Linked DNA regions of Anolis sagrei. The protein of the gene in region 1 interacts with the protein of each later gene in a biochemical or structural test. Links are inferred from orthologs where the notes say so. Each region holds a gene or a part of one and is shown on either strand. Other genes may lie near its edges.

What was found. The genes of interacting proteins can lie anywhere in the genome.
Region 2: of the proteins of MAPT (region 1) and MAP/microtubule affinity-regulating kinase 4, one has a biochemical effect on the other in vitro, tested with the Homo sapiens proteins (2 studies listed by BioGRID). The link is inferred for Anolis sagrei from reciprocal best matches to the Homo sapiens genes MAPT and MARK4.

The regions. Positions count from the first base shown.
Region 1 is NC_090026.1:44,350,142-44,357,418, forward strand, and holds the start of MAPT (microtubule-associated protein tau), read right to left. Parts: upstream 3,008-7,277; 5' UTR 2,824-3,007; intron 1,874-2,823; exon of another isoform or gene 1,783-1,873; intron 1-1,782. UniProt on the Homo sapiens protein: Promotes microtubule assembly and stability, and might be involved in the establishment and maintenance of neuronal polarity.
Region 2 is NC_090035.1:81,015,693-81,023,151, reverse strand, and holds the start of MAP/microtubule affinity-regulating kinase 4, read left to right. Parts: upstream 1-4,431; 5' UTR 4,432-5,055; coding exon 5,056-5,106; intron 5,107-7,459. UniProt on the Homo sapiens protein: Serine/threonine-protein kinase. Phosphorylates the microtubule-associated protein MAPT/TAU. Also phosphorylates the microtubule-associated proteins MAP2 and MAP4.

The sequences.
Region 1 (7,277 bases):
TAAATTGTAGCCGGTAGCAAACTGGCAGCCAGTAGAGCTGGTGTAATATGGGAATTGTATGCTCCCTGTTATTAACCTAGCTGCCTCTCGGACTATTTGAAGCTTCCGAGCAGTCTTCAAAGGCAACCCCACGTAAAGTGTATTACAGTAATCTATCCTAGATGTAACAAGAGTGTGGATGTTCCTGAGAAAGCCCTGTCCTGAGTACCCACCAACCACCCCCTGTAGTTAGTGAAATATGTAATAGGATATCTTGTAATGCTAGAAGTGGCTTTTCATTTAGTTCTGTACGAACCACAAAATAACAAACAGTTTTCCCAACTAAAAATGCTTCTGTTAACACCTAGATGTCTTCCAAAACTATTCACTGTAATGGAGAAGAAATGACCCAACACGAGAGAGCAGAGCTCTAGCGTCATTTCAATAAAACCAACATTTTGTAGCAACTTCAATGGAATAGTAATAAAGGACATATTCCTATGATATACTCCCTTTCATATCTTATGTAGGACAGAATGCAGTATTAGAAAGCTGGTGTAGTGGTCACTTCAGCCAAGAAGCCACTTGGCAGCTTAGAAAATCCAGTCTTATCTGCCAACTGCGACATGGAGGTAACAGTGTTGAATAACTAAACAAAATTATTCTAAGAATGCCTCATAATATCTGCAAAATCTCAAGTATTATATAACTGCTGCCTTTCATTATAGCAAAAACTTATTGTGTTCACACATTCTGGAAGTAAGTTAAGAATAGAGTAGTGAAGCTATAAATCAACTATTTAAAGGACTGAGAGAAGAGAATGGTGATCCTGGGAAATGTTTCTATCTTGAATTGTATGATCTCATCCATCCTATCATATCACGCCACTCTTGTTGAACAAAATCACTGATGTTACTTACCAATACAGGAGTTTATATTTGCACATTGTAATTAGACATGATACTCGATTAAAAAATAGAAGTGGACATATCAATTCTAGCAAAAAGATTTAACAGAAGGGGTTACAATATTACTTCTAGCAAAAGAGCTTTCAAAATGCTAATTCTGGAAGTAGACAAAGGATTTTTTCCTCTTCATCCCCACCCAAAACTACATGAGCATACCACAATCTTTACCCAATGAGAACTGTACTTTGCAACCATGTATTCAAGCCTACCACTGGGCGTGACCAGCCGCTGCTATTACACTCTGATCCATTTTCCCCCTGTGAGAAAACCATTTGAAACTGGGGAAAAAATATCACAATGAAGACACCAAACAATTGGGCTGCACATCTCGGCATAGGCAGAGCAAAAAATGGCACTACATCTACATCCAGAAATACGTGCCGATGTATTATATTTCTGTTCAGAATACTTCTACTAATGTGAGGTCGGTAATTAAATATGGAGTGGGGTAGGATTGTAGAAGAGAGCTATCTTCATCCCCCCCCCCCCCCAACACACAGACATACAACACAACACACTACGCACTAACCTCACTCTGCTGTTACATCGCTAGATCTACATCTGGAAATATGTGCTGGTAAATTATATTTCTATTCAGAATATTTTCTATTAATGTAAGGTTGGCAATTTAATTATGGTGTGAGATGGTGGAAGAGACGTGTTTTCGTTCTCAAAAGGAGCCCTAGCCTTGCTCTGTTGTCACACCCATGATTTTAAAACCCCAAAGGTAAATCCCATAATTTTGACCCATTTATAGAACAAAGCAACCCCTCCTCTAAAGTAGATGACCTAGATAGCATCCTTTCCCCCGTGAAAATACAGTAACATAGAGCACCTTTTCCTTTGGTAGGTTGTCAGTCTATTTTTCCCCCCCAATCACGCAAACGCTCTAAGCAATCCTGGAAATATGACATGGACTGCAAAACATGGCACCACCGATGTGAAAGGGAGGGGGAAGAGCCCATCCTTTTTCTCCCTCCGAGATCCACACCTACTGCAGCACCAACAGCCTATCATTCGCCATCTCCCTCACAATCAAAACCAGTCTTCCAAAGAGGAGCACAGACCTATGGGAGGGACCGGCAAAGGGAAAAAGAGGAGGGGGAGCATGTCAAAAAACGGAGAAGAATAGAGAGTCCAAAGATGACATCCTTAAATTTTAACTGGAAGCATCACCACCGCAAGAGAGCCATTTGTTCCATTTCATTGTTTTCTTTCTCCTTCAAGTCTCAAATGGAGGAAAAAGTCACCTGTGAATCCATAGATGGAGAATTCATTTGTGACATTTTTTGATGATTTCTCTCCATCCAAAAAAAAAAAAAATCCCTCCAAATGTCTTCCAATTATCAACATGCAAGGCTGCATTGTTTGAACACTATGACAAAGCATGTGTGTGTGTAGGAAAGAGCTGAAAGGCACACCTTTCTCCTGCAAGGAAGCCTATTGAGGTTCAGGAGAGACACACCCCTGCTGCTGCCCCATTTTGCCTCAGAAGAATCAATGGCTGTGGATGGAAATGGGCTATTTTTTGCAATAAGCCCCAGAGGAGTAATTTCTCTCTCTGTGCCTATTGCCACATAAGCCTTGGCAGGTGGCAAGTGCGTGGCTCATTCACCACAAGGCTCCTTTGGAGGGAGGGGTGTGGTTAAAGAAGAATAAGGTCCTATTTGAATGATAACAGAGACTGAGCAAATGGAAAGGCAGCATGAAGCAAGCCTCCCCTGTCTGGCATGGAGCTGGAACCGTGGTGCCATTGCTAGAGCGCTCCCTCATGCACCTCAAGGCTAATAAGCCCAGACCCTTCCCAACCTCAGCCCGCTTCCCAAGCCTTGCCAAACCTCAAAGGGGCCTTTCCCCCCCTTCAGGGAAACCCTACCTGGCGCTGCGGCTGCGACCGCTGCTGCAGGGAAAGCTCGCTGGAAAAGCCTCGCTCACCAAAAGCCGGGAGGAGGGGGAGTGACAGCAGAGGAGAACGGGAGCGCGCCTCTCCTGCCGCGGCCGCGCGCACAAGCTCCCGAACCTTCGCCTATGAGAGTCCTCCCTAGCGAGCCAGATGGGGCTCTGCCGCGCAGGCGCACTTCACGCGCCGCTCTTGTCCTCTCTCGACACCTCCCTTGTTTGCGCCTGCGCACGAGCGGACGCTGCTGGCGCTCCTTTTTCTAACCTGGTTCTTTGTCTCTGGGAAAAAAAGGGGGGACCGGCTTTGAAACAAAAAAAAAATATATGCCCCTTCTTGCAAGGGTAAACTCGATCAAGGTAGGGATAATTCCACCAGAGAAGTCACTTGATAAACCAACCAACACAGAATACTATTTGGAAACAGAGACATGCTGGACCACTCTTGACAGCCATCATGCCAGACTACACAGAGAAGCCATTGAAATCCACAAACGTAGACAATTTCAACAGAAAGGAGGAAAGCATAATAATCTGGTTACCAGTATTAATTAATCTTATCTATATAAATAAAAATGTAATGTTCATTTGTGGGATTAACATAACCCAAAAACCACTGGATGAATTGACACCAAATTTAGGCACAATACACCTATCAGACCAATGAGTGACCATCACGCATAAAAACACAACAGAAGAGACTTAAAAACCAAAAATACATTACAACGCATGCAGAAAACCACATATATACACAAACACACATATATACACATATACATAAATATATATACACACACATATACACATATATATACATGCAAAACACATACACAGATTGGGCCACAGCAACACATGGTAGGGGACGGCTGGTCTATATAAATAAAAATGTAATGTTCGTTTGTGGGATTAACATAACTCAAAAACCATTGGACGAATTGACACCAAATTTGGACACAAGACACATATCAAACCAACCAGTGACCATCACTCATAAAAACACTGAAAAACACTGCAGAAGGGACTTTAAAAGCCAAATAATAAACAATACATTACAATGCATGTGCAAAACCACATACACAAATATATACACATACATATACACACACAAAACACATATACACAGAATGGGCCACAGCAACGCGTGGCAGGGGATGGCTAGTCTATATAAATAAAAATGTAATGTTCGTTTGTTGGATTAACAGAACTCAAAAACCACTGTGGGAATTGGCACCAAATTTGGACACGCTACACCTATCAACCCAATGTATGTCCTTCACTCAAAAAATAGATTTTGTCATTTGGGAGTTGTAGTTGCTGGATTTTATAGTTCACCTACAATCAAAGGGCATTCTGAACTCCACCAATGATTGCACTGAACTAATCTTGGCAGATAGGACTCCCATGACCAACAGAAATACTAGAAGTGTTTGGTGGGCATTGATCTTGAGTTTGGGAGTTGTAGTTCACCTACATCCAGAGAGCACTGTGGACTCAAACAATGATGGATCTGGACCAAACTTGGCACACATAGTCAATATACCGAAAAGCGAACACCAGTGCAGTTTGGGGAAAATAGACCTTGACATTTGGGAGTTGTAGATACTGGGATTCACAGTTCACCTACAATCAAAGAGCATTCTTAATCCAATGAACAAGAGAATTAGGGCAAACTTCCCACACAGAACCCCCATGACCAACAGAAATTACTTAAGGCCATCGAGTCCAACTCCCTTCACCAGGGTAAGAAAACGTGATCAAAGCCCTCCTGACAAAGAGCCATCCAGTAGTAGATATAGATAGATATGATTCACACACACACAGATATAGTATCATAAATTTGAAAGGGACCCTTAAAGAAGGACAATTATATGTTGCATGTTCCAGAGTAGGCAAACCACACACTCTCCGCATCAACACTGACAAAGAAACAGCAAGAAATACTGTTTACCCACAAGCATCAAGACATTACATATATTAGAAACCAACATTTTCTCATTACTTTATTTTCCTGATCACTAGACTGGGCCATAGCAACGCGTGGCATGGGACAGCTAGTAGATAAATAAAAATGTAATGTTCGTTTGTGAGATTAACATAACTCAAAAACCACTGGGCAAATTGACACCAAATTTGGACACAATACTCCTATCAGGCCAACAAATGACCATCACTCATAAAAACACTGAAAAACACAGAAGAAGAGATTGAAAAAGCCAAATATTATATATACATTACAACGAATGTGCAAAAGCACATATATACACAAACACACATATATACACATATATATATACACATATATATACACACAAAGCACATATACACAGACTGGGCCACAGCAACGTGTGGCAGTGGATGGCTAGTCTATATAAATAAAAATGCAATGTTCGTTTGTGGGATTAACAGAACTCAAAAACTAATGGGCGAATTGCCACCAAATTTGGCCACAAGACACCTACTAACCCAAGGAGAACCATCACTCAAAAAAATTGATTTGTCATTTGGGAGTTGTAGTTGCTGGGATTTATAGTTTACTTACAATCAAAGATCATTCTGAACTCCACCAATGATGGAATTGAACCAAATGTGGCACATAGGACTCCCATGACCAACAGAAAACACTAGAAGGGTTTGGTGGGCATTGAAACCTGGCACGAATATTCCATATGCCCAAATATGAACACAGATGGAGTTTGTGGAAAATAGACCTTGACATTTGGGAGTTCAGCATGGTCTTTGATAGTTCACCTACAATCAAAGAGCATGCTGAACCCCACCAATGACAGAATTGGGGCAAACTTCCCACACAGAACCCTCATGATCAACAGAAAATACTTAAGGCCACCCAGTCCAACTCCCTTCACCAGGGCAAGAAAACGTAATCAAAACCCTCCTGACAAAGAGCCATCCAGCTATAGATATAGATATAGATATAGATATATAATTCACACACACACAGATATAGTATCATAGATTTGAAGGGGACCCCTAAAGAAGGACAATTATATGTTGCATGTTCCAGAGTAGGCAAACCAGACAATCTCCACATCAACACTGACACAAAAAAACAACAAAAAAAAACAAGAAATACTGTTTACCCACAAGCATAAAGGCATTGCATATATTAGAAACCAACACTTTCACATTGCTTTATTTTCCAGATCACCAGACTGGGCCACAGCAATGTGTGGCAGGGGACAGCTATAGTATATAAACAGACATGTAATGTTCATTTGTGGGATTAACATAACTCAAAAACCACTAGATGAATTGACACCAAATTTGGACACAATATGCATATCAAGCCAACGAGTGACCATCACTCATAAAAACACTGAAAAAAACAGCAGAAGAGACTTAAAAAGCCAAAATTACATTACAAACGCATGCACAAAACTACACACACACACACACACATATATGCACTCACGCATGCAAACACACATATGTACACATATATACAAATATATGCACATACAAAGCACATACACACAGACTGGGCCACAGCAACGCGTGGCAGGGGACAGCTAGTAATAATATAAAAAAAACAAAACACCAGAATAAAGAACACTACTCAGAAACAGGAATTCCAGGCAGCCAACAATCAAGTGCCTGTTAACACCTCCCAAACAATGGATGTCCCCAGGCAGTAGCAGCCAGGCTTTGCAACTGCAAGGCTACTCAGGCCCCATCCACACAACTGTATAAAATCCCACATTATCTGCTTTGAACTAGGGATCCTTCTGCACAGGCCTATATCCCAGAATATCAAGGCAGAAAATCCCACATCTGAGTGTGGACTCAGGCCCCTTCCACACAGCTGAATAAAATCCCACATTATCTACTTTTAACTGGAATATATGGCAGTGTGGACTCAGGGCCCTTCCACACAGCCCTATATCCCAGAATATCAAGGCAGAAAATCCCACAATATCTTCTTTGAACTGGGTTATATGAATCCACACTCAGATATTGTGGGATTTTCTCCTGGAATATTCTGGGATATAGGGCTGTGCGGAAGGGCCCTTAGTCTCAAGCCACTACATTATATTAGCTTCTATACCACACACACACAAAAGTTGGGGGAAAAGCATGCCCTTGTTCTATCCACAAATTGCCCCTGCTCTCTCCATCTTCCACAGTGCTACACAAATGAAGAAAGGGATGGAGGTGTACTAGTAATAACTTGTCATTCTTTCCCTGTGTTAGCCCTCCCACAGCTCTCCTATTATGCTATTACGTTTTGTAAGAAGATTTTCTTTGCCGCTTGTGATGTATTCAAGCAGTCCGTCTTGTACTGGCTTCTGAAGCGGATGAGTAGCCATGTAACCCTGTGCGTACTTATAGTAATATTTTTTTGTAGTAAACCCCAGAATTCAATGGGACTAACCTTCATAACGATACGCTGGCGGTACCAATTTATGCAACTGTAAA
Region 2 (7,459 bases), on another chromosome or scaffold:
CTGTTAATCCCACAAACGAACATTGCATTTTTATTTATATAGATTAAATAATAATAATAAATAGAAACAAATAATAACAAATAATAAAATATATGCTCCTGGTCACAATGGGCCGTGTTTTTGAAATTCCACCAATGCCTGTTAATTCGTAGCCAATAATAAAATTAAAATAAAATAAAATTCAATAATAACATATAGTTTGACAACATATAGTCCTCAGCCTTCTCTTCCTAACCAGACTACAAGTCCCATATGATAGCAGTGAAAGAGGTGTCAAACTGCATCTATTTTGCAATGTAAACACACCCGGCGTTTACTGCTGTTGGGTGGAGATGAATCAATCAGGGCAGGATTTCATCACATCACATCTTGGAATGCTCTCCTTAATTACAGCTGCATAGATCTGCATGACAACCTTGAGGACTAGCCCCATAACAGGAAGGATAGGCCTATGTGTGTGTGTACATATATATTTAAAAGGCCACTGGCAAGCCTTCAGAAGGCATTCCAGGGCAACCCTGCTCTCTGCCCATGCTCAGGGGCAATCTTCTAATGGAAAGAAATGGGAAAGGATATTAAAACAAGAGCACGCTTTCATCAAATAGATCGTCTGCCCATGCTCAGGGGCACTCTTCCCATGCTTGGGCTGGAAGGAAAGAGAGAAAGGAAATGGAGAAAGAGCAATCTAACATCTCCTCCAAGTCTGGGGAAGAGTGGCTTTCTCCCAAGGAATGCTCTCTGCCCATGCTCAGGGGCAATCCCACTCCAGGGCTGGAAAGATAGGAAGGAGGAAAGGACATCTCCCAAAGATGCACTCTGCTTATGCTCAGGGGAATGTTTCTAATGCTCTCTCAGGGCTGGAAAGGAAGGAAGGAGAGAAAGAAGGAAGAAAGGAAAGGAAGAAAGGAAGGATGAGGAAGGAAGGAAAGAAAGAAAGAAAGAAAGAAAGAAGGAAGAAAATAAGGAAGGATGGAAGGAAAGAAAGAAAGAAAGAAAGAAGAAAGGAAGGAAGGAAAGAAAGAAAGAAAGAAAGAAGGAAAGAAGGAAGGAAAGAAGGAAGGAAGAAAATAAGGAAAGAAGGAAGGGTGGAAGGAAAGAAAGAAAGAAAAAAGAAAGGAAAGAAAGAAAGAAAAAGGAAAGAAAGAAAGAAAGAAAGAAGGATGGAAGGAAAGAAAGAAGGAAGGAAGGACGAAAATAAGGAAAGAAGGAAGGATGGAAGGAAAGAAGGAAAGGAAAAAGGAAAGAAAGAAATAAGGAAAGAAGGAAGGAAGGAAGGAAGGAAGGAAGGAAGAAAAGAGAATGATGAAATCCCAGTTCTAGAGCAGAATTGTTTTCTCCCAAAGGTGCACTCTGCTTATGCTCAGGGGAATGTTCCTAATGCTATCTCAGAGCTGGAAAGCAAGGAAGGAGAGAAAGAAGGAAGAAAGGAAAGAAAGAAAGGAAGGATGAGGAAGGATGAGGAAGGAAGGAAGGAAGGAAGGAAGGAAGGAAGGAAGGGAAGAATGAGAATGGTGAAAGCCCACTACTGGGGCAGAGCTGCTTTCTCCCAAAGATGCACTCTTCACAAGTTCAGGGACAGTCTTCTAATGCTTTCCCAGGTCAGGGCTGGAGAGAAAGAAGGCAGGCAGGAAGAAAAGAAAGAAGGAAAGGAAGGAAGATGGAAGGAAAGAAGGAAGGATGGAAGGAAAGAAAGAAAGAAAGAAAGAAAGAAAGAAAGAAAAGAGGCAGGCAGGCAGAAAGGAAGAAAATAAGGAAAGAAGGAAGGATGGAAGTAAAGAAAGAAAGAAAAAAGGAAGGCAGGCAGGAAGGAAGGAAGGAAGGAAGAAAACAAGGAAAGAAGGAAGGAAGAAAATAAGGAAAGAAGGAAGGATGGAAGAAAATAAGGAAAGAAGGAGGGATGGAAGGAAAGAAGGAAGAAAATTAGGAAAGAAGGATGGAAGAAAAGAAAGAAAGAAGAAAGGAAGAATGAAAATAAGGAAAGAAGGAAGGATGGAAGGAAAGAAAGAAAAAAGGAAGGAAGAAAGAAAAGAGAATGATGAAATCCCACTTCTGGAGCAGAGTTGTTTTCTCCCAAAGATGCACTCTGCTTATGCTCAGGGGAACATTTCTAATGCTATCTCAGGGCTGGAAAGAAAGGAAGGAGAGAAAGAAAGAAAGAAAGGATGAGGAAGGAAGGAAGAAAAAGAGAATGATAAAATCCTACTTCTGGAGCAGTTGTTTTCTTCCAAAAATGCACTCTGCGTATGCTCAGGGGAATGTTTCTAATGCTATCTCAGGGCTGGAAAGGAAGGAAGGAGAGAAAGAAGGGAGAAAGGAAAGGAAGAAAGGAGAATGGTGAAAGCCCACTACTGGACTAGAGCTGCTTTCTCCCAAAGATGCACTCTGCACAAGCTCAGGGGCAGTCTTCTAATGCTTTCCCCGGCCAGGGCTGGAGAGAAAGAAGGCAGAAAGGAAGAAAAGAAAGATGGAAAGAAGGAAGGATGGAAGGAAAAATGGAAGGAAAGAAAGAAAGCAGGAAGGAAATAAGAAAAGAAGGAAGGATGGAAGGAAAGGAAGAAAGCAGGGAGGAAGAAAAGAAATAAGGAAAGAAGGAATGAAGGATGGAGGGAAAGAAAGAAGGAAGGAAAGTAGGAAGGAAGAAAAGAAATAAGGAAAGAAGGAAGGATGGAAGGAAAGAAAAAAAAGAAGGAAGGAAGGAAGGAAGGCAGGCAGGAAGAAAAGAAAGAAGGAAAGAAAGAAAGAAGGAAGGAAAGAAGGAAGCAAAGAAAGAAAAAAAGAAGGAAGGAAGGAAGAAATAAGGAAGGAAAGAAATCCCACTTCATTGCCTCACTGCTTTCTCCCAAGGCTGGATAGAAAGAAGGAAGGAAAAAGAGAAGGAATGAAATAAAAAAGGAAGGGAAGGAAAGAAAAAAAAAAGAAGGGAGGGAGGAAAGAAAGAAGGAAGGATGGTAAGAAAGAGAGAAAGGAGGAAGGAACGGAAGAAAAAAGAAAGAAGGAAGGTAAGAAAGAAAGAAGTAAATGTGGGAAGAAAGTGAGAAGAAAAACGAAGGAATGAACTAAAAAAGGAAGGAAAAGGAAGGAAAGAAAAGAAGAAAGAAAGAAAAGGGGGAGAAGAGAAAGAGGGAAGGAAGGATAGTAGGAAAGAAAGGGAGAAAGAAAGAAGGAAAGAAAGAAAGAGGAAAAAGAAGGAATGTGGAAAGAAAGAGGGAAGGAAGAAAGAAAGAAGGAAGGATAGTAGGAAAGAAAGGGAGAAAGAAAGGAGGAAGGAAGGAAAGAAATAAAGGGGAAAAAGAAGGAATGTGGAAAGAAAGAGGGAAGGAAGAAAGAAGGATAGTAGGAAAGAAAGGGAGAAAGAAAGAAGGAAAGTAAGAAAGAGGAAAAAGAAGGAATGTGGGAAGAAAGAGGGAAGGAAGAATAGTAGGAAAGAAAGAGAGAAAGAAAGGAGGAAGGAAGGAAAGAAAGAAAAAGGAAAAAGAAGGAATGTGGAAAGAAAGAGGGAAGGAAGAAAGAAGGAAGGATAGTAGGAAAGAAAGGGAGAAAGAAAGAAGGAAAGAAAGAAAGAAAGAGGAAAAAGAAGGAATGTGGATAGAAAGAGGGAAGGAAGAATAGTAGGAAAGAAAGAGAGAAAGAAAGGAGGAAGGAAGGAAAGAAAGAGGAAAAAGAATGAATGTGGAAAGAAAGAGGGAAGGAAGAAAGAAGGAAGGATAGTAGGAAAGAAAGAGAGAAAGAAGGAAGGAAGGAAAGAAATAAAGGGGGAAAAGAAGGAATGTGGAAAGAAAGAGGGAAGGAAGAAAGAAGGAAGGATAGTAGGAAAGAAAGAAAGAAAGGAGGAAGGAAGGAAAGAAATAAAGGGGGAAAAGAAGGAATGTGGAAAGAAAGAGGGAAGGAAGAAAGAAGGAAGGATAGTAGGAAAGAAAAGGAGAAAGAAAGAAGGAAAGAAAGAAAGAGGAAAAAGAAGGAATGTGGAAAGAAAGAGGGAAGGAAGAAAGAAGGAAAGAAAGAAAGAAAGAAGGAAGGAAGGAAGAAAGAAAGAGGAAAAAGAAGGAATGTGAGAAGAAAAAAGAAGGAATGAAAGAAAAAAGGAAGGAAAGAAAAAAGAAAGGAGGGAGGAAAACCAAGGAAGGAAAAAAGAAAGAAGAGAAGAAAGACCAGTTTATGGCCTCCGGCGCCTGAGCCAAAGCCACCTTTTTCTTAAGGCCGCCCTCTGCTCATGCTCAGGGGCCCTCTTGCATCCCCCCCCCCTTCCCAGCAAAGGTCTCCTTCCCTTCCTTCCTCCCTTCCTTCCTTCTGAGGCTCTTTTTACGCAGGAGGAGAAGCGGCGCCTTTAAGAGCCGGGCGGAGGGGGGGGGTTCAGTTTGGCTCCCCCTCCCCCTCTCTTTCCCCTCCCTCCCTCCCTCCCTGCTCGGGGCCCCGCCCTCCTCCCTCCCTCCCTCCCTCCCTCCTTCGCCGCGTCCAGCCTTTGGAGAGGCCGGGCCAGAGAGGAGGGGAGGGGGGGGGCACCTGAAAGAAGCCTCTCCCGTTCCGAGACCGGGCCTCCGGGGGGGCTCTACCATGGACCCCCCGCTTGGGCATCGCTTCCTGGTCCGGATCCTCGGCCTTGTGTGAACCCCCGGTTCGGAAGCGGGGGGCAGGGCGGCTTGGCACAAAAGGTGCCCCCCAACCCAGTCCAATCCGTCCAGGGCGCACGGGAAGCGCAGCCAGCGACAGCGGGGAAGCGGCCTTTCCGCCCTTTTGGGGGGACTATTGGGGTCCCCTCGAGTGGGGACGGGCTCCCTTCTCTCCGAGGGTGCCCCCCGCCTTCCCTTGGCCCCTTCCCCCCTTGTTTTGCCCCCCAAAAGAGGAGAGGAGAGCCTGATGTTCGGAGAGAGGAAAAGGACGCAGAAGAGGAGGAAGGAGAGCCACTAGCCAAGGGGGAAGGCGAGGAAAAGATCCCTTTTCCCCGGAAATTACGACCCCCACATCTCCCCCTCCCCTTGGGACCCTTTTCGGAAGAGGAAAAGGAAGGAGAAGAGGAAGGAAACGAGGAGGAGGAGGAGGAGGAGGAAGAAGGAGAAGATGTCTTTGCGAACCGCGTTGGCCGCCGGCAATGAGCGCAATGCCGACACCGTGAGTCTTTCTCTCTTTCCATCCCTTTTTGGTGATTGTTTACTTGTTGGTTTGCTTCCAGGGAGGGGGGGCAAGGAAGCCCCCCCTCTGGGCTTCCCTTTGGGGCCGGATTGAGGCCCCATCTCCACCGCCAGCCCCCCCAAAGCCCCACCCCAAAGATGCGTAATGATGGAGCTGCTTTCTCTCTCTCTCTCTCTCTCCATCCCCACTTGGAGGAAGGAGGATGGAGTAGCTTTGTCAAAGGGGGGGGGGGGGGAGGGACAGGGGCCTCTCTCTCTCTCTCTCTCTCTCTCTGACCTTTGTCTCCCCCCCCCCCCCCAACCACCACAACAGACCCTAAAAGACATGCCAGGGACTGGTCTGAACTGGGGAAAGAAGACTCCATTTGGAGGCCCCCAATCCCTTTGGCCACCCATTCTCTTCCTCCAAAATTATATTCCTGTTTGGGAATATGAGGGAAAGGGGGCATTCTCCCCTCCCCACAACAGACCCCAAAAGGCATGCCAGGGACTGGTCTGAACTGGGGAAAGAAGGCTCCATTTGGAGGCTGCCCAATCTCTTTGGCCACCCATTCTCCTCCTCCAAAATTATATTCCTGTTATATTCCTCCAAAATTATATTCTTGTTTGGGAATATGAGGGAAAGGGGACACTCTCCCCATTCTCTCTCTCTCTCTGACCTTTCTCTCCCCCCCCCTCCCCACAACAGACCCCAAAAGACATGCCAGGGACTGGTCTGAACTGGGGAAAGAAGTCTCCATTTGGAGACTGCCCAATCCCTTTGGAAACCCATTCTCTTCCTCCAAAATTATATTCCTGTTTGGGAATATGAGGGGAAGGGGGCATTCTCCCCATTCTCTCTCTCTCTCTCTCTCTCTCTGATCTTTCTCTCCCCCTCCCCTCCCCACAACAGGCCCCAAAAGACATGTCAGGGACTGGTCTGAACTGGGGAAAGAAGGCTCCATTTGGAAGCTGCCCAATCCCTTTGGCCACTCATTCTCCTCCTCCAAAATTATCTTCCTGTTTGGGAATATGAGGGAAAGGGGGCATTCTCCCCATTCTCTCTCTCTCTGGCCTTTTTCTCCCCCTCCCCTCCCCTCCCCTCCCCACAACAGACCCCAAAAGACATGCCAGGGACTGGTCTGAACTGGGGAGAGTAGACTCCATTTGGAGGCTGCCCAATGCCTTTGGAAACTCATTCTCCTCCTTCTCCAATATTATGTTCCTGTTTGGGAATATGAGAGGGAAAGGGGGCATTCTTCCCTCCCCACAACAGACCCCAAAAGACATGCCAGGGACTGGTCTGAACTGGGGAAAGAAGGCTCCATTTGGAGGCTGCCCAATCTCTTTGGACACCCATTCTCCTCCTCCTTCTCCAAAATTATCTTCCTGTTTTGGAATATGAGGGAAAGGGGGCATTCTCCCCATTCTCTCTCTCTCTCTCTCTCTCTCTCTCTCTCTCTCTCTCTCTGACCTTTCTCTCCCCCTCCCCTCCCCACAACAGACCCTAAAAGACATGCCAGGGACTGGTCTGAACTGGGGAAAGAAGACTCCATTTGGAAGCTGCCCAATCCCTTTGGCTACCCATTCTCTTCCTCCAGATTTATATTCCTCCAAAATTATATTCCTGTTTGGGAATATGAGGTAAATGGGGCATTCTTCCCTCCCCACAACAAACCCCAAAAGACATGCCAGGGACTGGTCTGAACTGGGGAAAGAAGACTCCATTTGGAGGGTTCCCAGTCCCTTTGGAAACTCATTCTCCTCCTCCTTCTCCAATATTATATTCCTGTTTGGGAATATGAGGGCGAAATGGGGCATTCTTCCCTCCCCACAACAAACCCTAAAAGACATGCCAGGGACTGGTCTGAACTGGGGAAAGAAGACCCCAGTCCCTTTGGCCACTCATTCCCCTCCTCCTTCTCCAATATTATCTTCCTGTTTGGGAATATGAGAGGGAAAGGGGCCTCCTTCCTGCCCTTCCCCATTCATGGATTCCCTGGATCTGACCCTAAAGAGAGGCCTTGGGATGCGGCTGGAATGCCAATGGCGCTTCATGTTGTTGCCATGTTTGGAATGGGATCCAAAGGCTTTTCATGTCCCTAAACCACTTTGAGTCTCCTTGTGGAGAGATAGAGCAGGGGATAAATAAACACCATAATAATAATAATTATAATGGCATGAATGAATGAATGGAGGGGGGAATGATTTAAATGCCACAGATACCTTCCTCTTCTCTGCCTCCATCCTCAAACAACCAGAATAATAATATATAACATATTACCAATATATATACACACACACACACACACAATATGTGTGTGTGTGTATATATAATATCACTATACACAAAT